2 linked regions of the Schizosaccharomyces pombe genome follow. Changing the gene in region 2 together with the main gene of any one other region gives a genetic interaction. Each region holds a gene or a part of one and is shown on either strand. Other genes may lie near its edges.

What was found.
Region 1: of rga3 (region 2) and rga6, changing one enhances a phenotype caused by changing the other (phenotypic enhancement), as found in Schizosaccharomyces pombe (one study listed by BioGRID).

Annotation. Positions count from the first base shown.
Region 1 is NC_003423.3:570,070-586,464, reverse strand, and holds rga6 (Rho-type GTPase-activating protein Rga6), read right to left. Parts: upstream 5,321-16,395; 5' UTR 5,219-5,320; coding exon 3,017-5,218; 3' UTR 2,672-3,016; downstream 1-2,671. Other genes in the region: protein Vac8, read left to right, coding at 556-583, 629-711, 774-894, 1,054-1,413, 1,530-2,423, 2,505-2,671; glyceraldehyde 3-phosphate dehydrogenase Gpd3, read right to left, coding at 6,727-7,734; RNAPII degradation factor Def1, read right to left, coding at 12,513-15,404.
Region 2 is NC_003424.3:5,119,156-5,133,870, forward strand, and holds rga3 (Rho-type GTPase-activating protein Rga3), read right to left. Parts: upstream 9,879-14,715; 5' UTR 9,684-9,878; coding exon 6,774-9,683; 3' UTR 6,078-6,773; coding exon of another isoform or gene 5,625-6,077; 3' UTR 5,459-5,624; coding exon of another isoform or gene 5,237-5,458; 3' UTR 4,173-5,236; downstream 1-4,172. Other genes in the region: pex3 (peroxin-3 peroxisome import protein), read left to right, coding at 518-675, 732-1,178, 1,286-1,721; urease accessory protein ure6, read right to left, coding at 1,718-2,425; SPOM_SPAC29A4.22 (uncharacterized protein), read left to right, coding at 5,237-5,458; protein mug108, read left to right, coding at 5,625-6,077; RNA polymerase I upstream activation factor complex subunit Rrn5, read right to left, coding at 10,900-12,570; rRNA exonuclease Rrp17, read right to left, coding at 13,085-13,486, 13,534-13,639, 13,680-13,783; Prp19 complex subunit, ubiquitin-protein ligase E4 Prp19, read left to right, coding at 14,087-14,144, 14,185-14,289. UniProt on the Schizosaccharomyces pombe protein: GTPase-activating protein for Rho-type proteins.

The sequences.
Region 1 (16,395 bases), on a different chromosome or scaffold from region 2:
TATCAGTACTCATTGCCAGCTACTAGTACTCCAAGATAAGGTGCTGTCTAGCGAAGTCAGGCATCGATATCGCAAAATCACAGTCTGTTGATACTTCTGATGTTAGCAGTAGTTCTTTTGATACAGAGTTAGTCACTTAGAAAGAATGAAAATAAATCAACTAAGCGAGTCTGATTTGAGCCGTGCAGAGGGAATGTGCCAATTTGCTAGCACAGGTCATGCCGAGTTATCAAAATCAACTATGGTCCAAAACAACCGGGTGTTTATTTAAAAATTATATTTTAGTCTTTATTTAAATGAACAATATCTTTTATTTTCACTCTATAGGAAAAATACTCTTCGCACTTGTCTTGTTTACATTTTAATTCTCCGAAACTCCACTTCGTTAACTAGCTTTGCGAGGTTTTGGGATTTTATAAGTTTGTTTATTGTACACTGTAAGTAACGTTATAAATGGATAACACAGCAACCCTGTTTTGCTAACTGTCCTTGCAATTTGCTTTTACTGTCACTTAACTTCCTCCAAACACTAAACAATCATATAAACAAAGTCAGATGGGCAATTGCTTGTCTTGTTGTGAGAGTATGAGTGCTTCTTTAAATCAAAAACTTATTAACAAATACATAGAATCAAAAGATGAACAGTATGAGCCTCTTTTGGCCGATCGGGAGAGGGAAGCTGTTGCGGATTTATTAAGCTTTCTTGAAGATGTTAGTGAATGTCGATTACTTTAAATTCTTACCTTCTCTTGACTAACGTTATCTTGTTGTAGAGAAATGAAGTCAACTTTTACAGCGAGGAGCCCTTACGTGCTTTAACCATTTTGGCATACTCCGATAACCTTGATCTACAGCGTTCAGCAGCGCTTGCGTTTGCAGAAATTACTGAAAAAGGTAATGACATAAAAACAATAGTTTTGGTTTAAACAATTCCCAACTTCGGAAATGAACAATGAGGTCTTGATTTAACAAAACGGAAAGAATATATATATTGTGTTATCAACTTTCTTTCTTTGTTTTTTTTACAGTGATTGACTAACACACTTTTTTTAGATGTTCGAGAAGTTGATCGTGAAACTATAGAGCCCGTCTTGTTTTTACTCCAGAGTCCTGATGCTGAAATACAGAGAGCTGCCAGCGTTGCTTTAGGAAACCTTGCTGTAAATGCCGAGAATAAGGCCTTGGTCGTCAAATTGAATGGATTAGACCTTTTAATTCGTCAAATGATGTCTCCTCACGTTGAAGTCCAATGCAATGCTGTCGGTTGCATTACTAATTTAGCTACCCTTGACGAAAATAAATCAAAAATAGCTCATTCTGGTGCCTTGGGCCCTCTTACCCGTCTTGCCAAAAGCAAGGACATTAGAGTTCAAAGAAATGCAACTGGAGCATTGTTAAACATGACTCACTCATGTAAGTTATACATTTGTCGCTAATTATTTGTTAATCTATTGAGCTTTGTTTTGAGCAAAAAGTTTCAATTAGTGGTTGTCTCATAATCTATGGATATCAACTAACTATGATACTAGATGAAAATCGACAGCAACTTGTCAGCGCTGGTACTATCCCAGTGCTAGTATCTTTGCTTCCTAGCTCTGACACTGACGTTCAATACTATTGTACTACTTCTATTAGTAATATTGCTGTTGATGCAGTACACCGTAAAAGACTTGCCCAAAGTGAGCCGAAACTCGTTCGTTCTCTTATTCAATTAATGGATACTTCAAGTCCTAAAGTCCAGTGCCAAGCTGCTTTAGCATTAAGAAACCTTGCCTCTGATGAGCGTTATCAAATAGAAATTGTTCAAAGCAATGCCCTACCCTCTTTATTAAGATTGCTTCGTTCTTCCTACCTTCCTTTAATACTTGCTTCCGTTGCCTGTATCCGTAACATTTCTATACATCCTTTAAATGAGTCTCCGATAATTGATGCTGGTTTTCTTCGTCCGTTGGTGGATTTATTATCTTGTACGGAAAATGAAGAAATACAGTGTCATGCTGTTTCTACCTTACGAAACTTAGCTGCTAGCTCGGAGAGAAATAAGCGCGCTATTATCGAAGCTAATGCTATTCAAAAACTTCGCTGTTTAATTTTAGATGCTCCTGTTAGCGTGCAAAGTGAAATGACTGCCTGTCTAGCCGTTCTTGCTTTAAGTGACGAATTCAAGTCGTATCTTCTTAACTTTGGTATTTGTAATGTTTTAATCCCATTGACAGACTCTATGTCGATTGAAGTCCAAGGCAACTCTGCGGCTGCTCTGGGTAATCTTTCTTCTAATGTCGATGATTATAGCCGGTTCATAGAGTGTTGGGATTCTCCAGCTGGTGGCATTCATGGTTATCTGGTCAGGTTTTTAAGTAGTGAAGATTCTACTTTTGCCCATATTGCTGCTTGGACCATTGTACAATTACTAGAGGCTGGTGGTAAGTTTTTTTTAGAGAATTTATTGACGATTTTGTCTACACACGATATACGGAATATATTCTTTAGCTAACTCATTATAGTTCCACGTTTAACTGCATTTATACAATCTAGCGACGATATCATCGAATTACTTAATGACATAGTTGCTAGAGATGCTAATAATGGAGAGTATGAAGATGGTGAAGGCGATGTTATATTATTATCTGGCCGGGCATTGCATTTAATTGAACAGGACACAGATTCTTAATTTTTATTTTTATTGGCACATTATATTACCCTTCATCTCTTTATATTTTTACCGTCTCAACCCCGTTTGCCAGTTCGGAAGTCTATTTGACTTAATGACATGAATCACATTTTATTAATGATTAGTTTTTTAGAAGATGATAAAAGTTCGTCCGTAGTTGATTCCAAATAATAAACTTATCCCTTCAACACCTGAATAAAACATGTGACATGGAAAAACTAACATGCATATCTTAATAAATACTACTATGAAACCAAAAAATATCAAAATGAACCTAAACTTTAAGAGCAAACAAATGGTTGTAATATATGATAAATAAATGACACCGAAAACAGAAATCCTTTCTTAAGATTTCTTCTTGTTTGATCGGAATTTACCAAACAGTTTTGTCCACAAACTGACCCTTGGAGATGCCTTTTTATTAATCTTCTGCGATTTTTTATTGGTTTCCGAAGAAGCAGTAACAGTGACCGGTGACTTTGCGACGATCGGTTTTGTATTGTTCACGAATGGCGGTGATGTGCGAGTTGACGGTTTACTATCTGTAGCAGCTGAAATAACCGACCGCGATGAAATGTTATTAGCAAAACTCATGGAAGGAACAGCAGTATCAGAAACGGTGGAAATCTTAGGCTGGGGCTGTTGATTGTCAACAACGACTTTGGTACTCTCATTTGCTACAGCATCATCATTTTCTTGGTTACCCGATTCATTATCGGAAGAGTCATTGATTAAAGGAAGCTTCGAGATATGCTTAACATTAGGATAACTTTCCTCAGATGCATTCACATTTTCAGGTATCTGTTCTGGAGAATCTTCTTTCGGGACTGCAGGAGTAAAAATAGCAACTTGGTCAGTTAACCCAACATCAGAAAAACAATTGGGTATGTCGAGAGAATTGATTTTAAGTAGTACCTCTGGCCAGTGAATAATCAGTCCCTCTACAATCTTGGCTTCAACTCTAGCCTTTTCGGTTTCAAATCTCATAAGGTCATTCACATTTCCAGAAGGACAAGATTTCGAAAGATCAGTAGAAGAGTTACCCAACAATAAAGGACCAAAAATAATACCAAGGGCTTCCGGCTTCATCAAAGTAGAGTCTTTGGTATTTTCCATTCCATTTTCCAACTCTTGAGTCCGTGTAGCTATTTGATGCAATAATGCTAGTAGAGAGCAAAGGATAGAAAAGCGCACGTAAGAATCTATTTGTGAAAAGCAAAGAGCGGCCATTTCATTCCGGATGTCTATAGGAACCTTTACTCTACTTGAATCAACGTATAATGGTACTAAAAGATTCAATATATCTTTATGCGTAAAAAGGCCACCTGGCAATAACATAATGTACCGTTTTAAGACAGCTGCTATATCGATATAACTTGGAAATCCAATACGCTTAAAAATTTCTGATGTTTCATCAAGCCAAAAATGAGGTGGAGAATAAAAGTATTCTGTGATTGCTTTTATTACGGGACCAGAACCACTAATGCGGAAAATTCCCGGTACATGCAAAGCATTTAAAGATAGAAAATGTACGCATTGAGCAAAAATATGTGGGAGCAACAAAGAAGGAGGTGCACATTCAGGAGTGGGAAATGTAAATTTGCAAAGATTTGTGGGATCTGACGTTAAATCGCCGATAGGTTTACCAAATACGGAAGGATTATGAGCAATTGCATTATGTTGATGTGCATTACGATGAGGAAATTTAAAATAATTCGTTAAAGAACGACGATGCAAGCCAGTGGACTGACGTTTTGGAGAGTAAGTAAGAGAGGGGCGGCGGAGGATAGAGGACCAAGATCCCTTGGAAGGGCTTCGCTTTGGAGAATCTTGAGAGGCATTGAACTGTCTTTGAGAGCCAAATGAAGATGGTGGGTATTGGAGAGGTTCCAACGTATCTGATGAGGATAGTTGATTCGTAGCCGACAAGGAGGGAGAATCTTGTGAAGTTTGTAACTCGTGTGAAAGGGAGCTTAGATTTAGGGATGACCTCCCTAGAGGACCATTGTTTGAAGGTTTATCAAACCGAACTTCTGATACTGCGCTTTCTTGAAGGTAAAAGCTAACATGTTCTAGGGAGGACGGAGTATCTCTCTCTTCCAATAGTGTCGAGTGTATCAGCTTAGTAGGGGATCCACATGGAGTGAAATATTTATCAGTATGAGCATCTGGAGGTGAAGAACTTTTGGATTCATTAAATACGCTATCGTCGGAGTACAGAGATTGTTTAACCTCTTTTATCTGGGAAACGTACTCCTCGAGATTAATTTCGTGTATGTTGTAAGTCTGAGCTAGCTCACGAAAGCGTGACAAGCACGAATTTTGCTTAGTAAAGAAAGGAGCTTGCTGTCCCTCCAAATTGCTTGCAGATGATGAAATTGATGTGGAAAGGCCATTTTCCACTTTCGCTAACGATCCTCCCACCTCTAGCGACGGTTCTTCGAAACGTTTCTCATCGGTCTGCGCATTGCTAGACAAGACGACATCCTTGTGCTCTTTCAGGTCCCCAAGAGTTCCATTGTTGAGAGTCGAAGGATTTAAGGTCATACTTCTCCCAACAATTTCAAATTTTACTACACGAGGTTTTCGAGGCCCGTAAAAGCTATAAACCTCAATATATACTCTCCACTGATAGAATTTTGAAATAAATGTCGATTAGAGAGACGTTGGCTTTGGTAAGAACCGTTCTACATCCGTTACTTACTAAGAGGTTCAGCCAAGTAGCAGGCGTTGAAAAGTAGAGTACGAGCCGAAGCGAAAGATAGGTGAACAAGTAGTCACATATTGAACGAACCAAAAACTCATCTTCTACACGGACTATTGTAATTTAAGGAAAGACAGCAGCTTTCAAACTCCCATGGTGCAGTTACTAATGGAAGTATTCCACTGAGAAATCTGAGAAGCAATCTTATTATTAGTTCGTAAGGAATTCAAATGTTTGGCACCAAAGCAGATATTGTTACTATATGAATTGATAATTTAAATAACAATCTCATGCTTAAACACACTTTCAAGCTATTGGAACATGAGACACAAGTATAAACAGTTCCATAGATGAGCCTCGCAATCGAGCGATTGTTTCTCGCTTAGATATAACTGTATTTTTTATGAGGGTACATGTGACTAGCAATGCGGTATCAAAAAACCAAAGGACAAAATACAAAAAACAGGATTAGCTGTTATCCAGAAAAGAATCAAATGCAAGCATGAAATTTTTTGAATAATTTTCTGAAGCACAAACAGCTCTAAGTATCAAACATTAAGAGTTGCGAGAACCGCCTAAATGGAACACTCGCTTTCATCATCATACTTGATGGTCTGAGATTGATCTGGAAAGTGGAGTGAACGAACACTAAGAATGAAAATGCTAAATTTAAATTGCTATCTATTAATATATAATTTTTCTTATCGTTTGACTTACACTTCCATTCTAGAAACTTGCAAATAGGGGCAGTAAAGATAGGCAGCAGAGGCCCTCAAAAGGACTGAAAAATTATTTACTTCACCCAAAAAAGCGTGGGCCAAGTTTATGGAAACATCTTAGCGAATATCTATCATCAAGACGAAAACAATTATCTCAAATGCAAACGGTAATAGAATGCTAACAAGCAACTATGATAACTATATAATGCTTTATAAATCAGTCTACCTTTTTTACCTCCAATAAACTACCACATTTCAAATCAAAATTTTCATACACCACATACTTTACGGATTTTTTACACATTAAAAACAAGTGAAGAAAAAACAATTCATTTAAAATTATATCTTAATCTATTTCGTAGAAAGGTCGTCAGCTATAGAGATCGCCCTAGGAGCGCAATCAAAATGATAACGTGGAATAAAAGAGGAAAATCTCATACATGTCTATCATTATCGTAGCAAACCCCAGAAAAGGAAAAGGGGGAAAACAAGCATAAGAATAAAAAACCAAAAGTTCGCACATATGTAAGACCCCCCAAAACCGAACGCATGTTCAGTTGAATAGCTTGGAGTTTAACAACGGCTGATTAGAGAGATATAGATTGACGACGGAATAAATCGAAAGAAGCAATCTAATCCTTGGAAGCAGTGTAGGCAACCAAGTCAACAACACGGTGGGAGTAACCCCATTCGTTATCGTACCAAGAGACGAGCTTGACGAATTGAGGAGAAAGTTGGATACCGGCAGAGGCATCGAAGATGGAGGAGTGGTTGTCACCACAGAAGTCGGTGGAGACAACAGAGTCCTCGGTGTAACCCAACACACCCTTCATGGGACCCTCAGAGGCAGCCTTGATAGCAGCCTTGATGTCCTCGTAGTTGGTAGGCTTGGCCAACTTGACGGTCAAGTCAACAACGGAAACATCGGGGGTAGGGACACGGAAAGCCATACCGGTAAGCTTACCGTTAAGAGCGGGAATAACCTTACCGACGGCCTTGGCGGCACCAGTGGAGGAGGGGATGATGTTGGCGCTGGCGCCACGACCACCACGCCAGTCCTTCTTAGAGGGACCGTCAACGGTCTTTTGGGTGGCAGTGGTAGCGTGAACAGTGGTCATGAGACCCTCTTCAATACCGAAGGTGTCGTTGATGACCTTGGCAAGGGGAGCCAAACAGTTGGTGGTGCAAGAGGCGTTGGAGATAACCTTCTCGGAGGGGTTGAACTTCTCCAAGTTAACACCGACGACGAACATGGGAGCATCCTTGGAAGGAGCAGAGATGATGACACGCTTGGCACCACCCTTCAAGTGAGCAGAGGCAGTCTCCTTGGTAGTGAAGACACCAGTGGACTCAATAACGTACTCAGCACCAGAGGCAGACCACTTGATGTTGGCGGGGTCACGCTCGTTGTGGACATCGATGGAGTGACCGTCGATGACAAGCTTGCCACCCTTGGTCTCAACGGAGCCCTCAAAGCGACCGTGGGTAGAGTCGTACTTGAACATATATGCCATGTAGTCAAGATCGATGAAAGGATCGTTGACAGCGACAACTTGGATCTTGCCAGTGAGGATGGCGTTACGGAGGACGATACGGCCAATACGACCGAAACCGTTGATACCAACTTTAGGAATTGCCATTGTTATCTGAAAAGAGTTAGTAAGAAGAAGAGATCAAAGAGGAGAGAAAAAGGCAAAAAGAAGCGAGAGAGGGAAGAAAGCGAAGAGAAGAAGAAGAAGAAACGATGAGCGTCATTAAAAGAAAAGATATCATTATTGAGAGAAGAATAGAAAAGAAAGTATACTAAAAACAGCAGCTTTGTCGCTTTCGGCAAGTCTATTTTAATTTCTGACCAAACTGCCGTCAAGCGAAAAATAAAGCCTTCTTTACCGAAAGAAACGGAAACTAACGAATCTTATCACGACTTCGTTGTACAATTTCACCATACTGGATATGACATGTTTTCGTCATGTCAAGTAAAATCAGAGAGCCTCTTCTCTTGGCAATCTCACTGACCATTTTCATTTCAATTCATCGCTCAAAATCCATCTTTTTCAACTAAAAGAGAATATCAAAAGAAAATATCCCTTCCTTTTCCTCAATCTATTTTTCCCTCTTGGCAGGTGTTTGACACATGTCACATGTCTCACCAAGCCAATGCTTTGCCAATGCCACAGCGCATCACATACCTAATTAATTCGATTGCTATTTCTCAAAACCAAACAAGTACTATTGCTGATTTCTTGATACTACAAAGAAGCAGACTGGCCTACCACTCCTATTTATATTGTATGTGTTTACGCTAGAGTTGTCATGCCAACGACGGTATCGTAAGCGGCGATTTCCGTGTTCGGTACTTGGCAGATCGGATAATGAAATTAGCGGCCTTCTAGATAACTTCCCATGCGAATATTTTTGGCTCATAATCATACAACAATCGACGCATTGCGTTGACCTTTCCCTCGCCTCGCTTGACAGGAACGAGAGAGGCAAGGATGGAATGGCATGGAATGGATGAGTTGGGATGGCGGTGGAAAAGAAAAAGAAATGTAAACAATGAGTGTAGAGGAAAGAAGAAGAGAAGAGAATAGCATAGCATAGCATAGCATAGTAATCAAGAGGACAAGTGGGAGAAATGAGACAAGTGGTAAATCCAAGTCAACTGTGAAATTTCGAATGCAATTGGATTCAATCCATTTCTATTGATTCTATAAAAATGTTCATTTACTTCACTATTCATCGACTCACTTCACTAATAGTCATCGAGTATATCTGCTGTGTGTGTCAGTCTCGTCCCTTCCATCATCCATCAATCCGCCCTTGGAATGGCGTTTCCAATGCCTAGATGGAATGGAATGTTTAGAGGGTTGGCCCAGTTAGCTGTTGTTAGGCTGACGATTCTTGCATTGAATTGCATGATTTTGTTTGACCGTGCTAACAGGGCTATTAGCAAGGCTCATGGCATCCCAGCGGCTCCTCGGGAATAACGAGGTGCAAAGTCTCGTTAACATCATCTGTTTGTGAGGGAGGATGGAGGAGGGTAGGAGGGTAGGAGGGTAGCGAAAAGGTAGGAAGGGAGCGGGTTAGACGTGGAACATGAAGGAGAAGACATAGAATAACAAGGAGAAGATATAGAACAATTGTTTACAGTGCACAGTTTGGAAAAGAGATTCAGTTGGAAAAGGAAAATCGTTGATGTTGAGATTGTTATTGTATAAAGTTTTTGCTTTCTATTGACATCTCTCATTTACCTACTACCACTTTCCACTCCTTTTTCTCTCTCTCTCTCCCCCCCTACTTTATCGAGTTCAACAATACTCTGCTGTCCGACTATACTGAACTACGACGCTTTGCACTATGTTCCTCTGCGCTTGACTGCCCAGGACGTTCCTTCGGTTAATCGTAAGCTGTTTCTTCGGAAAAAATTGATCGGCAGTTGGGACAATTTGAGTTTCCGGGGCGGTTACAAGGTCTTGTGATGGTTGGCGGATTCGGATTGAAAGAACCCTAATTCACCTTCTAGAGAAACCTTATGTGAATGAGCTGACGAATCAACCATCGACGAGGATCCTTTCAAGGTCCGGGATGCGCTCATCCTCAAGTCCATACTGGTTCCGAGAGTTTCTATTGCGTCACTTTTTATGTAGGCGAAATTAATTTTGGCGGGCCACCGTCCGATAAGAAAGGAAAAGGAACCGAAGGAAGCAGGAGGAAGCAGCTGAAACAGCGCGAGACTCACATACAGAGAGTGAGGAATAACACAGTAATGCAACGTAAAAACAAAGCCATCAAAAAAGAACTTTGCTCTATGGAAACACACTGTAAGCAATGGAAACCCAGAATTGTTGTCTTCATAAAGGTCAATGAGTAACACAAAAAAATATGAGTTTTTAATCAATTGACTACTTCAATCCATTCTTTCTTCATTCAATTCCCATTCCCATTCCCTTCAAACGGCCGAACTAGTTTCTTCCTTGTCCTCCATAACGAGCAGTGTCAACAACGTGCACTATCCTAACGTAGAGTGTCATTCTTTCCAAAACATTTTAGCACATTGCGTTACCTCATGCATCACAGTAATGGGGTCCAGCTCGCTTGCTAATTTACCCATTCTCCTTGCAATCCACCCCGCACTACACTATGCAACATACCGTGTTTCACCGTCGTCTCTCCATATTCGCTTGAGTTCTTGGCGTTCTCGCAAACAAACTGGATGTCTCATAAAAGGAATTCCTCTTTTTCTTTTCTTTTTTTTTTTTGAATCTTTCTTACTCCCTTTGTCCTTCGCACACTTGATAAAACAGAGGAAATTGATTTTCAACAAAGCAATTGACTTTAAACTAAATTCACTTTGTTGTTCATTCACTTGTTATCCATCGATTTTGTTCGCTTCCTCGCTTCCAATTCAATTCATTGCACTCCCACCTACTGTATTTCTTCTCTTCTTCAAATTTTATTCCAGACTCTTTTTTTTTCGCATCATCCCAAGTCACATACTTTACAATTCATTTCGCATCGTTCTTTTTCTTTCGCACGCATCCCCCGCCATCCTACATACTATTTTCACATTTACTCTATCCATCCCAAATTTACCCTAAATTATCTACCACCATTCAAATCCGCTCTCTACCCAACAACCTCATTTACATGTGCCAATTCCTAAATCACATGTTTACCATGATATGTCTAACGGTATTCGAGGCGTGATTTCTAAAAAGTCATGCAATTCAACATAAATTTTCCCCAAAATTCATCGATAATCCTGTTACCTTTTTTTGTTATAAATATTCATTCCCTTTTCTCTTTTCTTTCACATTTGTCAACGCATTCTCTCACCGTTTCACTTGTCTCAATAGCTTTTTTACAAGAGCGTTCACTCCCATTTCACTTATTTCTTGTCTCCATTTTTTAATTCTCTGTAAATTTTATCCAATTCCTTTCTCAATTGCTTTTATATCGAGAAACGAATTAATTTCACCTGACTATATTGATTTGTAACCCAACCCACTCATCATTGATCGCACTTTTCCTTACCCATTTGTTTACTGGATTCCATCCGATAACCTATGCAATCCTAAAATAGCGAGACTCGTGAAGTAACATACTGCGGGTCTCGCTATTTCGGTGGTGGTTTTCTTCTCACTATTTCTCTATTTCACGATGGGCAAATTTTTCTTTATGATGAAAATATCTTTTTCCCTTTCACGTTCCAAGTTCTGAAATCATTACTTACAAATTACTAAATTTCCTTTCTAACATCTTTCTCACTACTTTCCTAAATTACTCCTCGATGTGTTATTGCCATTGCTCCAACTTTCTCCGTTCTTTATACTTGAAATACAGTTAACCCTTTATAATGACTACCATTTTACTTGCTATTACGACTCGCTATTTTTGCGTTATATTGCTACTATTTTCAACCTTATAGGAATTAATGTTTCAAGACATCGATCTATTGAATTTAATTGGTTTGATTTGATTTGAATTATAATCTACTAGGAGTCTTTTTCCTTTTCAGAACTTTTTCTACGTTTGTGTATGACACTGTCTCTTCTTCAACTACATCTACATGAACGAATCTTGCCAGTAGTGAAGGTTAGACATTCTATTTTTTCATGAGAATTTTACAACAGCGACATGCTGTTTTGCTAAATTTGGATGTTTCAATTTGCTATATTTCTAGAATCAATAATACGTATTATACAAATTTGCTCTTCATTTCAATGTAAATAAAAGTATCAAGTTTTTCTATTCAGTAGACTTAGCGTATAGGGTTGACGTAGTGTTGTTGACTGAAGTGTGGCATATATTACTAGCGAAGCTTTTTTTTTTTTACACTTTGCTTTAGCGAATTCGCTTAACATTTGCCGTCAAAAATTGTTTAAAATAGGAATGCCGAGTGAACCACCCCCCTAAATTGCCAACTGATTAAACGTGTTTCATTAGCACTTGACTTTTGGAAATATAATAATCATTACTTGAAACTAGTTATCCCACTTCGCATTGCTTACCCACACCTACAAATACCTTAACATCAAATCTTTATTTACCCTTTCCCTCTTCCAAAACGCCAGTTTGTTTTAATAATGCAATAAAAAAATACTCTATGAACATACAAGGAATTACCATATAATGGCAACATTACGGCGTGGTATGATATGTTATGATATGAACAAGCAACATTTCAAACTACATAATTAAGCACTATCAAACAGAAAACACATGTGACCACATAGCCATATAAATCACACACATATATATATTGAAAAACTTCATAAATTCGATTGTCCCAATAAAATCGATTTTACCCTTCCATTAATAGCATCTTGTCCGCAATTATTTTTAGCCTATTTTTGAATCCTTATAAAAAGCATTTTCCAACTTCTACGTTATCAAACTTTTTGATCATAAGTTCAATTTAAGCATTACCGTACCAACCTCCTGGTCGGTTTATAAATGACTGGTTGTATGCATTATAGCCTCCTAATCCATTACTACCTGCATTGGTAGATGCTCCAGAGTTGAACGGAAACCCAGCGGGTTGGCTGTTTGCATTGTTGACCTTGTTAGCATTGCTTTGAAAAGAGGTTGTCTGCTGAGTAGCAGCATTGGTCAATGGCGTTTGTTGAGGAGGTAAGCCATAAGGAGAGGCCGCATTGGCACTAAGGTTTTCAAAACTTCCAACATTACCCATAAACATACCAGGAGCCGCACGTCCCATCCCTGACATGGAAGACAAACCACCCAAAGTACTTGACATGCTGTTCGCCCCGGTTACGCCTCCATTTCCAATCACAGAGTCACGATGTCCAGCCGCTTTCTCAGTCATGCCGCTAGTATTTGCAGTGGCATTATTAATTGGGTTGCTAGTTTGTGTTCCACTCATACCACTTACATTGCCAGGCTGTTGTCTGTTGTACACGTTGCTGTGTCCACCAAAGATGGGAGGGAAATCATTAAAGCCGCTCTGAGACATGTATCCTTGCTGGGGCTGTCCAAACTTGTTATTATTGTAAGGCATCGTACCGTATCCATAAGACACATAAGGAATAGGATACATTGGAGGAAATGCATAAGGTTGGGGCTGTTGTTGAGAAACAACAGGGCTAGGAGTCGCTGTTCCAGCAGCAGGTAGAGAAGTAGCATTAGAAGATGCAACCTTGTTATGCATTACCGAGTGCACATCTGGTGTATTCGACGCACTACCAGCGACATTATCATATTGTGAGTATTGATTACGCTCATTATAGTAATGAGCTGCTGGTGCAGCTTGACCATATTCAATAGGAGACATAGTAGTGTATGCTGGATGACTAGTCTGTTGATATTGTTGAGAAGTATTTGAAGCATATCCCAATTCAGTACTATGGTCGATGTGTTGAAAATTGTCGAATGGGCTATTGGCGGAGCGGTTTTCCACAGGATTCATAAATCTAGAAGAATATGGAAGTGCAGTTGTCTCCCCAGCATTTGAAGATGCAGTTTCGTTGTTAAAAGCAGCTCCGGTAGACGGAGGAATAAGACTAGCACCAGCATATGGTTGAGGGGAAATTCCATGTGTAGCAGGAGAATAAATACCGCCATATCCGGCACTTTGTTTACCAACCACCGGGCCACTTGTAGCACTTGTGGATGCAGCGGGTATAGTCGTTTGGGCTGATACTTGAGGAGGGATGGCCGAGACAGAAGAGGCGTTTCCACTGGCCGGTAAATTTACATCGTGTAAACCACGATATGGTGTCTCGTTAACATGAGATTCCTTCAAGTTTTCGGGAACCTTCGATTGTGGAGCACGGCTTTCATATGCTGAAGTGTGTTGTTTCTTTGGGATTTTGGTGGATTCAGCAACTTTGCTCGCCTCTTTTTTTGCCTCTGGCTTTGGTGAAACTGTCTTTTTAGGAAAATAGGAACTTCTTGGTCCAGACTGTGCTATGTTGTCTGAAGAAGACTTTGTCGATTTTTTGTCCTCACCCCCAAGTGTCAAGCTTCCGAAACGCACTTGAACCTTTTCGGGAATAGCAGCAGTATTAGCAACAGGCATAACGACGGGGAATCTATCAGAAAGTAATCGAGCAGTAGTCATACTAGTTGTAGAGCTTTGAGAGCCAACAGCGGCTTGCTTCGCAAAGGAGGGCTTAGGTAGGGAAGCAGAAGAGATGTTGGAAAGCCCAGGAGCGGGCTTGACTGCATTTATGGCAAATGGGGCAGTACTCTTTTTGGGAGCTGAGGTAGCTGTGGAGGGGGTCGTTTCAACATTTGCGGGAGTTGCAGAGTCCTGGGATTTGTGAGGGAAAGGAACAGATGAGGATGACAGTTCAGCAGGTTTTTCGTAAGCAGCGGAAACATTAGTTTTAGAGGGTTGAGAAGGAGCGATAGAGGGTTTAGAAGGTTCGGATTCGGGAGCGGGAGCGGGAGCGGGAGTGACCTTTTTCTTCGACTTTGCAACTGAAGCCCAAGCCTTCTTTATAGGCTTTGAAGATGCAACAGCCTGATCAGCCGCACTGGTCGACTTTGCTGAGGCCGAAGTACCGCCTGCGGTGCCGTTCGTATTTGTTGAAGCAGCGGTATTAGCCGATGTTAAAACTGAAGCTTGTTCATTAGATGTAGTATGATCTTTCATTGAGGAATCTTCATTAATAGTACCAGGATCAACGGAAGAAGACACTGTCGTTGATGCAGGAGCTTTGGTAGAAATTTCTGAGGAAGGAAGATCGCCAGTACCAGCAGGCTTTTCTAAAGAGGATGGTGCATGAACGGAAGAAGGATCTGAGGGAGCTCCTGCTTTTGATTTTCGAACCCCCCGAGAAGTATCCTTAGAAGCGGAAGGTTTCTTTGATTTACGTGTAGCATTACGAAAGGTGGAAGAGACATTATCGGAAACTGGAGCATGACTTGTTGGTTTGGACTTTGTTTTAGGGATTGGCTTCTTTTTAACTTCACCCCATTTGGAGGCGTGACCTTCAGTAATATGCAATATGGTCAGTTCCAAATCCCGGTCCGCTTCTTCTAAAGCAAAACTTAAATCATCAATCGTCCAGCTAGGAAACAGCTCTTGCAATACGCTTAACTGCGAATCACGATCAAATTCGAGCTCAAGCGCATTTGATCCCTCTATATTACTAGTCTGAGACGAATTTGCCGGGCCAGATTTTCCTTTGGTGCCTCGCCTTCCCTTCGCTCCTCTCTTGGCGGAAGAGGATGAAGTTTTATTATCTTGCGATATATTTAACGCTGTATCTGTGTGTTGCTTTTCTGAAACTTGTTCGGTATTTCCGACCTTCTTTGGCCGAAACTTTTTATTCTCACTCATTTTTGATTCTACTTTTCTTTACAAAAATTAATACAGGTCTTGAAAATCGACAAGGCACGTGTATTCGTGCTTCAAGACGATATGCAAGATTTTTCGTGTTATTTAAGGGTAGTGGTTCTGGCTGCGTTTTGGTGTCGTGCAGCATAGTGCTTTTGCTTAAATGGAAATTGCCTATACCAGAGCAAGGTGGTAGTGAATGCGCTAAAGTGCAAACTATAGCTTTCCTTGAAATTTTTATACATAGAAAAACTTATAACGTTATAAAGAACAATGTTATTGTTTAAATTTTACTTTACTTTTTCTTCATTTTTGCGATTACCTTTTCTAAAAGCTTGATTTATATAGTAGTGGAGTGCAGTTTACTATTGTATTTAACGATTTACCGTTGTGTATCTTTATTGCTCTTAAGACAATAGCTAGTTAGCTGCTTGCCTGAATACATGAAAATATGATGAAAGTAGAGCTCATTGTATTAACTTTTCTATTGCCCAATTTCTTCGATACTGTTAAAAGATGTGCAATTCGTTTAGCTAAATTCAAGTTGACTAAACACCTTTCGTTCCATGCTTTGCTATTACAGATTCCTAACACGTTGGTATGTTTAGAAATTTGCAATGCAATATCGGGTATTCAGTTGGTCAATTTATGAAAACTTTAATTACTGCTTCAAGTAATAATCCATCCGTTCTAATTACGCGGCTTCAGTAACATTCGAAGCTCTTCATTCACTTTGTTGGGTTCAAGTGAACCACACTTATAAACGTGATGCCCTTTATCTAAAAAAATAAATATGAAGCCTGCTAATATTAAATTAACAATAAAAACAAGAAACATTGCTTTGGCCGGGAATCGAACCCGGGTCGAATCGATGGCAACGATTCATTATACCACTAAACCACCAAAGCTTGTTAGAATGCTCTATTAAAAAGCATATATCTATTTAATTGTAGAGTTATAAAAACATAGAATATTGATAAAATAACATTATAAT
Region 2 (14,715 bases):
TGAACCAAGTAGCTTATACATTTTGAAAGTAACTAAATACCTTATAAATCTATTGGGTATAGCAACGTTGTCGTAAATGGATATATTGATTGTAGCATTATGAAAACACTCAAAATTAATTCATTTTTATGTTTATTTATTAAAAAAATGATCAATATACTCAATCCAACCAAAAATGTGTTTTCGCTTTCATTATTTTTGTATTGTTTCTGAAGTAAACAACAATTCAAAGTTCACGGGCTATAGAAGGAAAATAATTTTTTACCTAGGTGACTATTTCTCAGTATAAGTTAGTTTATTAGAGACAAATACTTTAGATGCCTATCAACTTGAGGGATTATGGGCAGCATATGATTTTCCTACTATATCCAACCAACATCACATCTAAAATTTTTGCTGTTAACACCAACGTAAGTGCCCTGTTTACATTGAAGAATTCGTTGCAATCCTAATATATTGAAAGTGCAACAAACGTCTCTTCACTAGCTGGACGGGACACTAGATCAGGCGAATAGAAATGCTAAAATCGTTTGAAAAACATTTGAACGCTGTATCAAGAAAATGCTGTAACTTCATTTTGGGTAGCTCTATTCCAGTTCTGGGATTTTATTGCGCGGATACATGTATAAGGAATGCTTTTATGGAATTTATGGAAACACGAAATTCCAAGTCCAAGTAAGTGTCTTCTATTACTTAACGGAATTGAAGCTAATTAGATGCACTTAAATAAGATATGTTGAAGCCTTCAATACTGTTCAGTCTAATGGCGCTACGAGCGCAATTTCCACATTTCATATATTGAAGGATGAGATAATTCGGAGGATCCCTTTACTTCCGATTATTCAAGAGTTACGAGAAACAAGGATGTCGGAAGTGAGTGCTGAGGAAAAAATACTACTTTGGAATCAACTAAAATTCATGAGCTTGGTTCGAATGTTCACGACCTTAGCAGTTTTGGCACAGTGTAACCTACTCTGTAAACTTGCCCTTACGGTATTGGGACGGGAAGCTTTTAAAGAACAGATGGTCAAGGAATTTGATCCTTCTAATACGCTACGACCATCGGGATCCGATGAAGACCCGGCTGTTTTTACGGGAATTGCGTATATCTTGTTGAATAACCAACTTGATGAGTTGATTCAACAAGTACAATTAGCTGTTACTTTGACTTTTGAAGAGTATGTGTTGATAGTGCGTTGGCGGTAAATGTTTGAATCCGATTGGCGTTAATATATATGTGTTTTATCTTTCATCTTAATTTTTTAGTGCTAACACTTCGAACTAGGGTATCGCCGACGGATATAGTGGACCGCAAATTGATTGAAGCATTGACGACTCGTGTGGTCGAAGTATTTGTAAACAACTATCAGTTTTCTATCGACGGAAACAAAGAGGTACTGTTAGCTGAAATCCCGAAACAGTACATAGTTACAGGAAATTTGCTATATCGTGTTTTGGAACTAGAGGATTTTGCAACCCAAATGGATGCATCGATCGTTATGAAGAATGAGCTGATCGCTTTGAATGAACACATGTTGACTTATTTACCTAGCATACCTCAGGAAGGTATTCGTTTGGCAAAAATTTTGACGACGTTTACTAAAATTTCCGAAAACGTATTCGAAGCACCCTTCCAAGAGCAATTTTTTCAATCTCTACAAATGGTTTCAGATGTAAATCGCTACATGGCAATCGTATTTTCCAGTTTTGATGATTGTTAACTATTAAATATTCTACTATATAACAAACTGTGTCTACCCTGCCAAAGGTCCAGCGTATACCATGACTGAGCAGTGTCCTCTAGTTGCATGTTCAAAGCTAGTTGCGACGAATCTCTAAGTAAACTTTCGGTTTGAGGATGAGCCAAAGTGGAAACGTACTGGAAGGAGGTCAAAACATCTAAGCGAACAGCTGCTGAGCAAATCGATTTTGCATGCCCCAATAAGAACAGATAACATGTCCTTTCTAACGATAATCCCAAGGCTCTACATACCACACCCCAAACCACTGGGAAATGACCGAGTGCCTTTTTACTACGAACTCTTCTTTCGTACTCATCCAAGTATTTGAAGACATCGGTTGATGTAACGAAAAAGGAGAGTGATTTTGTCCAAATATTTAACAAAGATTTACCCTGCATGGTGGAGACCTTTTGGGCAATTGTGCATGTCTGTGTGCTTTCAAAAAAGTCTTCGATTTCGGAATATTGTTGCGGTGACTCCCAAGCTGCTTTGACAGTTGGCAAATTGGTATGTAGCACTGAATTGAGGGACAATGGTAAAAAGTTGAAAAATGCATTGACGTCTCTCACCTGCTGATGAGACAAATACGACTCTAACCCATACGAATAAGAAAAAGATGACAGAGGAAACGCAGTGTCTGAAAGAATTAGCGACAAGTGTGTTTCCGTTTGCGAATCAGTCATGATTGTAATGAAATTAGAAAGTGAAAACAAAAAACCACCAACTATAATCAGTAGTAGTAAGGTTGGATCTAAGTGTTTTGGAGAATAGAAAAAAAAGCTATCCCTGGGTGTTTACTTTTGCGAAATGTGTGTGCATATCTAGTATATAAAACGCTTTTTAGTATTCAAAAAAAGAGAAGAAAAGAGGAGTTTAGGAAGTTGTGAAAGTAAACTTTTAAACCCGATTCTCTCAGTAATTATCGAGCCTACAACTCAACGAAACGGTGCGACAAGAATAAAAAATGATGGAACGCTATTTTTTGGTATGTCTATACAGCATCAAAAGGTTGAGAAAACGGTTTTTAACCGCCTGGTATTTGGATGATAATTTGTAAAATACGAGAAAAGGTATCGTAGAAAAGAAAATGCAAAATGAACGACAAGAGGTGGTTAAATATTAAATATGAATCGTGTGTATGGTCAAATGAAGGACTAAGCAGAGAAAAATTTTTGCACTCATGCAGATCCAGTTTCTTCTTATCATCAAAGATCCTGCACCTGCAGTATACAATCAATCCATCGTTACTGGAAACAATATAGGGATGAAAATCATGCAACTCCTTATTATTGACATTCACTAGTGATCACTATTTAATAAATAAACATTTAAAAATAATGGAAAGGGCAAACAAGAGTCTATGAGAAAGGGAAGAGAAGCATGGATGAGCTTTTCATTTTCCAAGTCAATGATGCAAAGATTTTTTACTGAACATAGGACGAACGAATGTAAAAATTACACAACGTTTAGATAGTCCATTATAGTGGTGTTATTAAGTTCTACAATGGTACTTTCAAAATAACGATTTCTAAGTATGAGTGCTAAGTGAATTAGCAAAATAAAGCACGAGTGTGGGAATTGTAATTTGGGAAACACCTTTTACTGCAGTAATTACAACTTTCTTCATAAATGAATGTACTGAAAAGAGGATACAAAGGAAGATGTTTGGAAGCATTAAATTTACTGACCTCAGTTATTTCAGGAAAGGAAAAGCAAGTTTTGATAACTGTAAAACAATAACATATAGTATACAAAGTAAAGTAGAAAAGGCGCTGCTCAATTAAGTAATTCCTACTGGACTTTCTCACGAGACAATGCTTTAAGCATACTTTATAATATAAATTGCAATGCTTTTATTAATTTTAATACAGATGAGCTAATCTATTTAAATGACTGTAATAGACTTTCACTTCAGTTTTTACTATGAATACATATATAATGTTTTGCAATGAAATAAAAAAGGCAAATAAATGTCAGCATTAGAAACAGTAAATAAAAATTAAAAATTGTTTAAAAAAAAAGCAAACGAAGGAATTCATGAATGTTTACAACAACCCCACGAAAAATTCACATGGAAAGTGACAAATTTGTGCATGGAACAACACAGTGAGCTCATCCACAGTGAATAAAAAGAAAGTCCAAATAAAGGTTATTTTCGTTATAATACAAAGATGTCGTAAAGAACGACGATCAAAGAAAAACAAGTGAGCAAAAAGGAAACTCTAAAAAAAAGAGAGAGAGAGAGAGAGAAACTCTCCGAGTATGTGTGTGTGTATGTTTGAGTCTCTTTTGTGTATGCGAGAAGAGAAAGACAGCAGGAAAATAAAGAAGAAATAGAAATAGAAATAAAAAGTCAAAACTATTTATTGTAGCTCAATGAAAGCCAGTATCTCACGCTGACCAAAAAAAAAATGAAAAGAGAAAGAGAGCAGAAAAAAAAAAAAAAAAGTTATTGAAAACAAGAAACAATCAAAACCATCTATTTCAAGATGACATGTATGACAAAGAACGCTAGTCAAAAAAAAGGCAATTCATACAAAGAAATAAAAAAAAAAAGAGAGAGAGAAAACAAAGGACTCCTATAATCATAAAGCAAGATTACCAACAATGGACAGAGATGGATAAAGAAAACCAATGGTGGAACAAAGACAAAAAAAAAAGAAAAAGTGGAACAAAACAAAATGCGAATCAAAGAAATTGAACAGAAAATTGAGCAAAAAAAACTTTAGTTCTGAGACAAACAAACAAAAATTTTCATCTTCTTTAACTTTTTCTTTCTTTTTTTTTTCTTTTTTCTTTTATGTTTTTATTTCTTCCATCCATTATTGATGTCTCGTTTGAATCCCTTTCTTTCACCCACCCCTCTCTTCCTGCAGTCTTTTTCGTCATGCCATTACCCCATCTTTTCAGGTAGCATCGACTCAGCCTTGTGACTCCAAGTGTGGGGAAGCGAAGGCGGAGAAAAAAGGGATTAGGAAGGGTGTCGATCATGACGCAATGCCATAACATCTCTGATGCACAACACCGTATTATAGACTGACTAAGCTTGCCGCGGAAATCAATTAATTGTCAAGAAGGCAGAAAAAAGAAAGAAAGAATATAAAACAACAACATAAAGCAAAAATAGAAAAGACATAAAAAAAAGACTGACCCTCTAAAGTCTTGTTTCCTTTTTGTTTTTCTCCTGGACAATTAAAACGACGCTTGTTTTCCGTGCCATACTTGAGACTGCGATACCACGGGATGAACAGCCTCTTCTAAACCAACCTGCCATTTTCTCTTCTTTTCCTTCATCCATCCATCAATCATACTTCGTCCTGCTTACTTGTGTGCTCCATTGCATTATCACCAAACCCTCCTCCTCCTCTTGGCCTGTTTCGTAAACCCACTTAACGGATCTCGCCGAGGTACACACTCACGGAAATATGCTATATGGGTGGTGGAAGTGAAGAGGTTGGCGCCACGATTGCAGTGGATGACGATGCTGGATAACAATGGAGTTGCGGGTGAAAGGACGAGTAAGGCACACTTACATTCAATGTAGCAACCCAATACGTATGACATTTGGCCACAGCAAGGAGATAAATAGAAGGTTGGGCACTAAGAGTGAAAATTCCATTCCCAAAATACAGTACATATATATTTCATCCTTCGTAATAACAAATACCGAATCGTATTCATATCCACCCTTATTGATCATCAGCGAGTCAAGCTAAATTACCCACCCACTGACAATCTAACAACAACAATAACAAAACAAACAATAACCAATTGAGTTGAAAATTGTTATTGACAGTCCAATCCAATCCAAATCCAAATCAATTTGAAATTGAATTTCATCCAATACTAATTGACTAATCGAATTTCTTCAAATCCACCGCAATGGCAAATCGTTTTACTTCTAGTGATCAAACTCAAGAAACCCATGGTCATCATGTTGACAAACACTCCTTCTCCGGTAGACAACGCCATCCTTCGATGGGCGTTCATTCATTCAACGAATACATGAATGAATATCCAGAGGCCGGACCTTTGGTCCAGGAAGAGGAGGATGACATGGAGAGCTCCAGCTACCATGCCACTCAGGAAGATATCGGCGACGATGACTCCAGGTCCGAGTCTACTCGCAACCGTTCCAGTCAACATACTGGCCGTGTTAATTTCTCGTCTCTTGGCGGTCTTGGCAGCATCTTTGGAGGAAAGAAATCACGCTCCAAGAGCGCTAATGGAACACAAAAGAAAAATGCAAACAATAACGAGGAACAACTTGATGAGGAAGAGCAAAACGATCCTTATCTTGATAGGGATATAAGCCTTTTAGGTAGTACTATTTGATTGCTTTTGTTTTTTTTTTCTTACTCCCTTGTAATTTTTATTTTTTGATTAGTCATACCCTGACTGACAATGTTGCAGATTACATTTAATTATGCCATCCATCCCCTTTCACGTTCACTGCCATTCATCCCTCACCATGTTCCCCATACCATTCTTTGAGATTTCGAGACATGATGGCACGACCGTAGTGTTTGTGTATGTATGTGTCTTTGATGAGTTGTTTATGTTGTGTTTATGTTCAAGTTATGAGAAACGAAATACTCGAACCAAATCGAGTTGAGTTCTGTTTAGTATCGTTAAAAAGAGTTTGTTTTCTTTTTTTTTTATCAAATTAGCATTATATTTTCCTTATTTTGCATCTCGCAATGCTTAATGGCAAATATCTTTATACAATCTCCATTTGCGTGCGTATTTATTTGTATCTGATGAGCGTGCGTGTGCTTGCCTGCTTGTCATAATGTACATCCTGTATTACCCAGTTTGAATAGTTCAGTCGTAAATGTAAGAGTGTTATGCTAATATCTTTGTTTTCCTTTTTTCATTAAAAAAAAGAGGTGTAAAAAAAGTCTCATTATTTCTTCGAAAAGTATTCCTTATTGAAGTTTGGAACACAAGTGGTTATTATTATCGTAAAGTTCCTTCTTCCCTAGAAAAATACAAGTTCCCCGATATTTTAATCATTATTCATAAAACAAGCTACAGATTATGAAGAATCTTATCCACGTTATCAAGCATAAACTGAAGAGCCGTACTCTTTTTGGTAGCATGCTGTAAATCAAACCGATTCACCTTATCTCGCATTAAAGTAGGTGCAAATACTGTAGAGACATTTTTCGAGTTCATCAAATTTTTCTCCGCGTGCTTGCATACACGACCCAAATGTGCAATCAAAAATCGAAATACGCTCAAATGTGCAGGATGAAGCGTTTTCATTACTTCCACTACCCGTTCAATTTTTTCCTCTTCCTTTTCGATTTTTTCCGCTTCCAACAACTCCTCGTATTGAGTGCCAGGTATAACTGGTTCCGGTAAGCGATGCAAATATGTTTTCAAAACCGACGTACAGGCAAACAAGTCAGAAGTCAAATGCTCCATTCGGATAGACCCGTTTTCAAATTCGTCGACTAACACTCGGACCTGAGAAGCACTGCCAGATATCCTATAAATACCTTCAACCTCCAATCCATGCGCATCCACGCAAGAAACGCACATAGCAATTACTTGAGGCAAAACCGACCCTTCAATTTTCAATTGATTTTCTAACGATCGTCCAAACATCGTTGGTGAAGGCCCAGGAGGAGGCATCCTCGTTGGCATTTCCGGCATCCATTTACTATTTTCACTTACAGTTTCACTCATTGTTTTCTCATGCTCCGACTCTGCAAACAGCCTTTTTAAACACCGCGAATGGCATGAAATTGAGCAATGAAAGCAGCGGAGTTCAGATCCCCATACGCTCTCCGAGCATATATAACACCTTGAGGGCTTGAATATGGCATTAACATGAAACACATGGTCACATTGAGTACGATCTTCATTTCCTACTACAGGATCGGCAGACTTTGATTTAGTATGCATTGATTTGAACGGGACTTTACGGTTTACATCTCTTGGTTGCAAATGCATACTTCCCTTTTTTCCCTTAATGTCAATTCTCGTAGTCACATTCAAATTTGGTGACAACGGACCAGGTCGACCTGATGACTGCCCAGAGTTGCTACTCACGGCAGTAAGTGGATTAATACTGCTGGTTGTATTTTTGGAAGATGTGGTAATAGTATGCTCCAAATTGGATTGGTTTTCAGGAGGTACTCTATGCTGAATTTGTTTTACCAAATTGTTGTTTAAGTCGGCCAACTCGAGATTTTTGGTATTTAGGTGTACAGATGCTTCAAGCGATTCATTTAAAATTTTTTGTACATTATTGTAATCGTCAAGCAGCTCATTTCTCCTTTCCAAAAGATTGTTTATTTCAGTGCCGTAACTCTCACGAAGCATTGCCATGTAAGCATTGGCGGCAGCCACCAAATCCTGATGTTTCGGATCTTTCAGCGTGGGATCATCTGTCACATCAGCAAACGAAAAAAACTTTTCACAAATTTCAAGTTTAGCCGAACGAACAGTATCCTTATCTTCCGTACGAATAAACTTAGAGTTGTCAAACGTAGAACTTGAGAGCCTTTCGGACAATTTTTTGGTAAGAGCAGTAAGATTTTCCAACTGTTCACGCAATTCTTCAACATCCGAATCTCGCTCTGATTGTGCTGGAGTTGAAGAATGATCGTTTGTCGGTAAATGGTACTCTCCATTAGATCCCAGCGAAGGAACGAGTGTTTGCTGAGAAGTCTCAGAAAGAGAATGCGAATGCCGAAAACTTTTATGGCCCCCGCCATTTGGTTTGGGAGAAAGAACCTGAGGCGGTGAAAGTAGCTGCGCAAAAGATGAAAGGTCAGATGGCTGAGAAGAGGTTTTTTTATGGGTTTGGACATTCGGTGAGCGGGTTCTCGGTGAATGCGTATCACTCGACCTGTAAGAGGGAGAAAAAGGCCGAAAGGGAGAGGTGGCATTGTGAAGAGAACGCATATGTCCATTCATGACAATTGGCTCTGCTCGGTCAGTCAATGACATGGTTTTATAAGGAGAAGCAGAGCCAGCAAAGTCGTCCAGGGCTTCCTCATTAATTGTGGGTTTTAAGCTGTCCGAGGAAGAGCTATCGTTAACAGGAGTAAAAGATTGTTTGTGAAACGTATGGAATCGATTCTTCCAAGTATTTTTGCTTAACGGAAATGTGGCTGTAGGAGACTCAATTTGTTGCTGCTTGTTAACTTTTTGTAACGGAGATATAGAAGGTGAAATAGGAAAGAAAGAATCGTCATACTTCATCGGCGATTCAAAACTCGTAAACGAGGAAAAACTTCGATTTTTGGCACTAGGCAGCAGCGAATCTGCAGAATTAGACGCAAGATTACTATCCTGTCCATCGTTCGGCACATTACCCCCTTCTGCCTGACTCATGTTAGTCGGTGTTTCGCTAACTAAGCGGTCTCTGCTTCCACCAAAAGGTGATAATGGTGGCTTTTGAGGAGACATAATTTCAATGCTTAAAGACTTATTAGATTCCACTGAAGACTTTGTCTCTGTGGGCTTAATCGTGACATCAACCTCAAAATTGTGATAATCAGCGCTCTCGTCTGAAGACCTGGAAGGGTGACGGACTTGTTTACAATCATTACAAAATATAGTCCTATTATCTCTTTTAAAGTTAGAGTCAATTATTTGCTTTCGGCAATCATGGCAACGAAAACACTCTCTGTGATAGGAGTCGTAGCCTGACATTAGGGCATAGTCCTTGATCCTCATACGACACGCTGTACAGGTATGGGCGCAAGAGCTACACACCGGTCGTCCATCAGAGGTTTGCACCAGCATTTGATCACTGTGCTCCAATCCTTTATCGCACTTCGTACAGCAGAAGCAATCCTTATGCCACATATGACCCCCAAACGAAATAGGTGTCTCTCTACGTTGAAATGCCTGTCCGCAGCGAAAGCATACTGTGCTTCCCTTGCTTGATGGAGATTTGGAAATACTTTTTCGAAATATCATCTTATCGTATATATGCTCTTCTTATTTCCTGCTAAACGTTATGAACTTCAATCTAGCGTCATGAATTTGGCTTTGTTGATTTTTATTTTCACAACGATTCCTTTGGGTACCTATTTTCATTCCTCAGCTTCCCATCAAGTAAATGAAAATATTCCCAATTTTATGATTGAAGTTCGAAACAATTGGTAAATGGCTAAGGAATAATTATTACTGCAGTTGTTGGCATCATTGCCCAGTGGAGCGGTGAGAACGGCAGTAGCGAGTCGTTCACTCTAATCCCTTAAAATTTGCATGCGTCGTACACATGGCACTATGGTCTTTGGCTTGCCTTGCCCTAGCCTAGCGAAACACTATGGAAATTATCGCCGTGTTCTACGATATGGTGCGTAAAATTGCCAAAAGTCACATGGTTTATTACGGGAGTTTAGACGAAACGGGTGTTATGAATAGCTATTAAATACGATTATAATATTACAGATAATTAATTTTAATGGGTTTGGCAGCGTTTCCGCTCTCTAGGCTTTTCTTTCCACTCAAAAATGGTGATATTTGTGAAAAGGGAAATTGCCGAAATTAGAAGGAAAAAGGAAAATGAACTGTTTTTCTGGCTTAAATAGCTTTACCTTTAGAAAAAACCCGCTAAAAAATGGTTAAAGATATATACATTCCTGATCAAAAAACACAGAGGACAAAAAAAAAGAAAAAATTTCGGTAGCAACAGGAGTAAACAGAAGGAGAGATGCTTTCTAGAGAAAAAAATTTTGTAGACGTTTGTAGCGTGAACGGTCGGATCGTCAAATAAAGGGACAAGAGAAAATGCTCGTTTCCAAAAAGTGTAGAATTTATAAAATGTGTATCTCAAATAGCGGGGTCGCTATAATTGATTAAGTAACTATTGCTTTTAAGAAGGAAGTAAAGGCTCCTAAAAAAAATTTTTATAGTTGTGGTGCGAATATTGGGACAATTATACGGAAGAAAGCAATCAGTTTTTAACAAAAAAAGTTTCAGAATATTGTGAACACTGGGACTCATCATTATAAATGGCAATAACTGATTGCTATAAAGAGGAAGTATTAAATTTTCTTTCTAGGAAAAAACAAACTTGGCAGAAAATGACGATAAAAAGAAAGGATTGCTATCCAACACAGAGGCAGCGCTAAAAAACAATTTATGTTTTTGTAAAGGCTTCAAGACTGTAGTTCGAAAATGAAGACATCTATTTTAAAGGGAGTGACAACTCCCAAGAAGAGACAGGTTTTGCAAGTTTCCTTTCAGGATCTTCTGTACTATTTGGAAGATTAGACAAATCATAGGATATTAACCCTACATATCCGCTTTCAAGTTCAGATACGACTTCAGCTGCACCCGGGGCATGGGAAACAACTGGATCCTTGTAATAATAACATATAGGTTGAACTTCATCATCACTATCGGAATGTTCGTCAATGTTGTGCAAGCTCTTGGAAGTTATTTTAAGAGTCGTAAACACGTCGGAACCTTTTAACTTGTCTTTCATTCGCTTTTGAGCCAGCAAATTACTAAGTGGTATAGTTTCAAAAAGAGCGTCCTCTGTCGACATCTCATCGGTTAAATGCAGCACATATTTCCAAACAAAGCTTTCGTAGTTTTTGGATTGAATCATGTCGTAGGCTTCGACGCTGTCATCAATTTCCACAAGACTTTCTTCTGCGACACTTTCATCCATGAACATTTGAGCATTATCAGGATACTCAGCCTGATTAACAGATTTCTTAAAACCATTGATGCTAGTCTCATCGGCGGGTACAGAATCTACCTTGCGCTTTACATCATGTTCTCCAAGGTTACCATCGCTTTCATCTGTCGAATGTTCCTTAGAATCAAAAAACATGGTGTTTTCGTTATTTTTTGTCTTCCGTGCTCTGACTCGTCCTAATTTCAGTTTTGATTGTCTTTCATCAGATTCCATTATGTGTATATAATTTTGAAATTTGAGACGTTTGTTTCTTTTGTAAACATTCATCTTTTGTCTAGTGGGTAAATACTTCCAAAATCCGGGTATATTGAATCGGTGAAATCGTAAAAATTTGCCTGACAGAACAACGTCTCTATTCTTGATAATAGGTTTTCTATGAAAGGCATTGTTAGCCTCTAGTTTCCTAAACCTAGACTCCGCCAAAAATATAGATGTTCCGATTAATTCCTTCAACTTGCTTTTAATGATTTGTAATAAAAACTCCGTAGCGCCAGCAGAAAGTGGATTGCTTGGAAAAGGCGCTTGTCGATCGAAATGATAAAACCGTTCAGAAATCTTTCTCATCTCATTTGTATCAAATAAATCCTCATTTGAGGTTTTGTTTTTGACACTTTGCGCATTATAGTGTGAAGTTTCAACCCCTGAGATATTCGAACCCTCAAGAAGTCTTTCCGCAATTTTTTCTTCCCAATCAATCCAATTCTGACTCATTTCCATTGCAATAGGTATATCTTCATATTTCAACAAACATTGACTGCGCACGGATGCGTCTACGTGATTACGAAGCCAACGTAGCTCATTCTCTAAGGCATTTATGTAACGCTCGATCTGCACAGCGCTTTTAGAAGGAATGGAGTAAGCTATCAAATCTAAATCTCTTTTCCCATTTCGAGCAACCGCTTGAAAAAACAGTTCTTTTTCTTCTGCACTCCAGTAAGTTCCATCCACACAAGAGCCACTAAGAACGCCCCATTGTTCTTCTTCCAAATCAAAGTCACGCTTATTTTCAGTCTCAACTTCGTATTGTTGAAGGACGTCTAGGTATCGTTCATCATGAGTCATGTACAATTGCTCACTTGAGCCAATGATAGATGCAGTGCTTAAAGGCGTTGACCCTTCACTCTCATTTAATCCGTTTATTGAAGAAGACATGTTATTATTGAGAACATGATCAACGCTAATGAAATAAAAGCTGTTGCAGTCTTCTTTTTAATATTTTTTTGTTTACCACATTACCAGACGTGGTTTGTGTTCTGACAAAGATCAAACTCGGTATTCTAGTGAATTTCGCTAATATACTAAAATCCAAAGGAATATATAAATGTAGAGTATCTCTAAAATTTACGGGTTTTAAACATAATAAAAAAATATAAATCGTGCTAAAATCTAGCTTACCGCTTATTGAGTACAAATTTTTTGCGCATGTACAAACACCTTAATCAAAACTGTGAACAAAAAATTGAAAAAGGCTGAAATGCATATATCAGACCAAGAAAAACTCCGTATATGTAATGATCTCTTGTAAAGTAGTTTGTTAACTTCCAAAAATTCTCAACCTGAAAAACGAATGGACAATTGAATTCAAATATCATTTTATACCAACCATATTCATAAATATAAAAAAAGGGCAAGATGCGTCAAACAACGTGTGCTTGAAGTTCCTAATTTAACGTCTTATTTTCTTCTTTAAACGACGTATTTTTTCTTTTCTTCTGTCCTGTGTACGTTCAAATTTGCTCTCATACCGAAATTTCTTTTTGGCGGCATTTTTAGGCTTGTGGGGACGCAAAGGAACATCTGGTGGAGGAGAAATACGAGGCGTGACAAAACCTTCTTTAGGATAAGCAATTTCTTCATCATCATCGTCCTCTACAATTTCTACCGTAACATGCTTATCATCTTCGTCATACTCAGTAGTTTTAGGCTCCATTGATGACTCTTCCTCGCTGTCAGATTTAGATGAGGAATCTTCTTGCTGTGAAGATTCTTCATCATTTTCTAGCGAGCTATTCAACTCTTTAGAGAATGCTAATCGCTCAGCCAGTTCTCTTTTGCGCTGTTCTCTGAGCTGAATAGTGTTAGTGATATACTCAAGATAGTATTAGAAAAACTTACAGATTTCCTCAACGCTAAACGTTCTTCGCGTTTTTGCTGCTCCAATTGAACTTGAGCATGCTTTCGTCGTTCAACTTTGCGTTTATGAAATCCAGTTAAATACTCTCTGTAACAAGTTAGTAGCAATCCCTTTATGATATCCATACTTTCGCTTCTCTTTATCAAAGACGATCTCCTCCAATCTTTGCTTCTTCCCTTTCTTCCTGCTGTAAATCTCACCTCCACGGGTTAGTAGAGATGTATTATCCATGATGCAACAGTTCGTGAGTAGCTAGAAGAGAGGGACAATTTATGGGAATCTGTAGTGATTTTAAGTAAATTATCTCCAATTCTATCCAGTCTCGTAATGGTCCAGTAGATTTATGAAGACGAGAGGTACTGAAACCCTACTATGCCTTGTACGTACATTTGCACTACTAACTAGAAAATTATTTGCAAAATGCATCGCATTTGCCTTATATTATATACGGATATTGGTATAGTGCAGTAAACGATTAGTTGGCTATGCATTGCTTTCCTCTAGCTATTACACACAGAAACCAACGTGTGCCGAATGTTTTGCTCAATCAGTGGAGAAACGCCAAAAGAACCGGTGATTTCTCGTGTAAGTGGTATGTTTGTACAATAATTTCCCTGTCTGACTGAATGTAGGAAATGTTTACGAGAAGCGCTTGATTGAACAAGTTATTCGTGAAACGTCTAAAGACCCTGTTACTCAACAGGAATGCACGTTGGAGGACTTGGTTCCTGTAAAGGGTAAGATTTCCTTCTTTATTATTGAATGGTTAAGAATTTCAAGTAGCACTTATTTTTTTATACGTGGAGTACTGAATATTCTGAAATTGGTTTGGAAAGTAAAACCCTGCAATATTGGTTGAAGAACTCGTTTATTTTCTTTTTTTTGTTGATAATGTATTTTATTGCATGATTGATTTGTACTCGAAATTTTTTAATTTTACAGCTTTATATTTCTCCTTAAAAAGTGGACTATTTAGTGCATGTCAATATCTCGGGGCAGAAATTAGGAAGGTTTTTAGAGAATTATAGAACAACCTTGTCGGATTTATCAAAACAAATCTTTATCAAAATTAATGTGGAGTTGTTGAGGAAAATGTATTAATACTTTAGATTTTTTTTGGTTTTTGCTCTCCAATGCGATTTATATTTACTATATTTTGATTG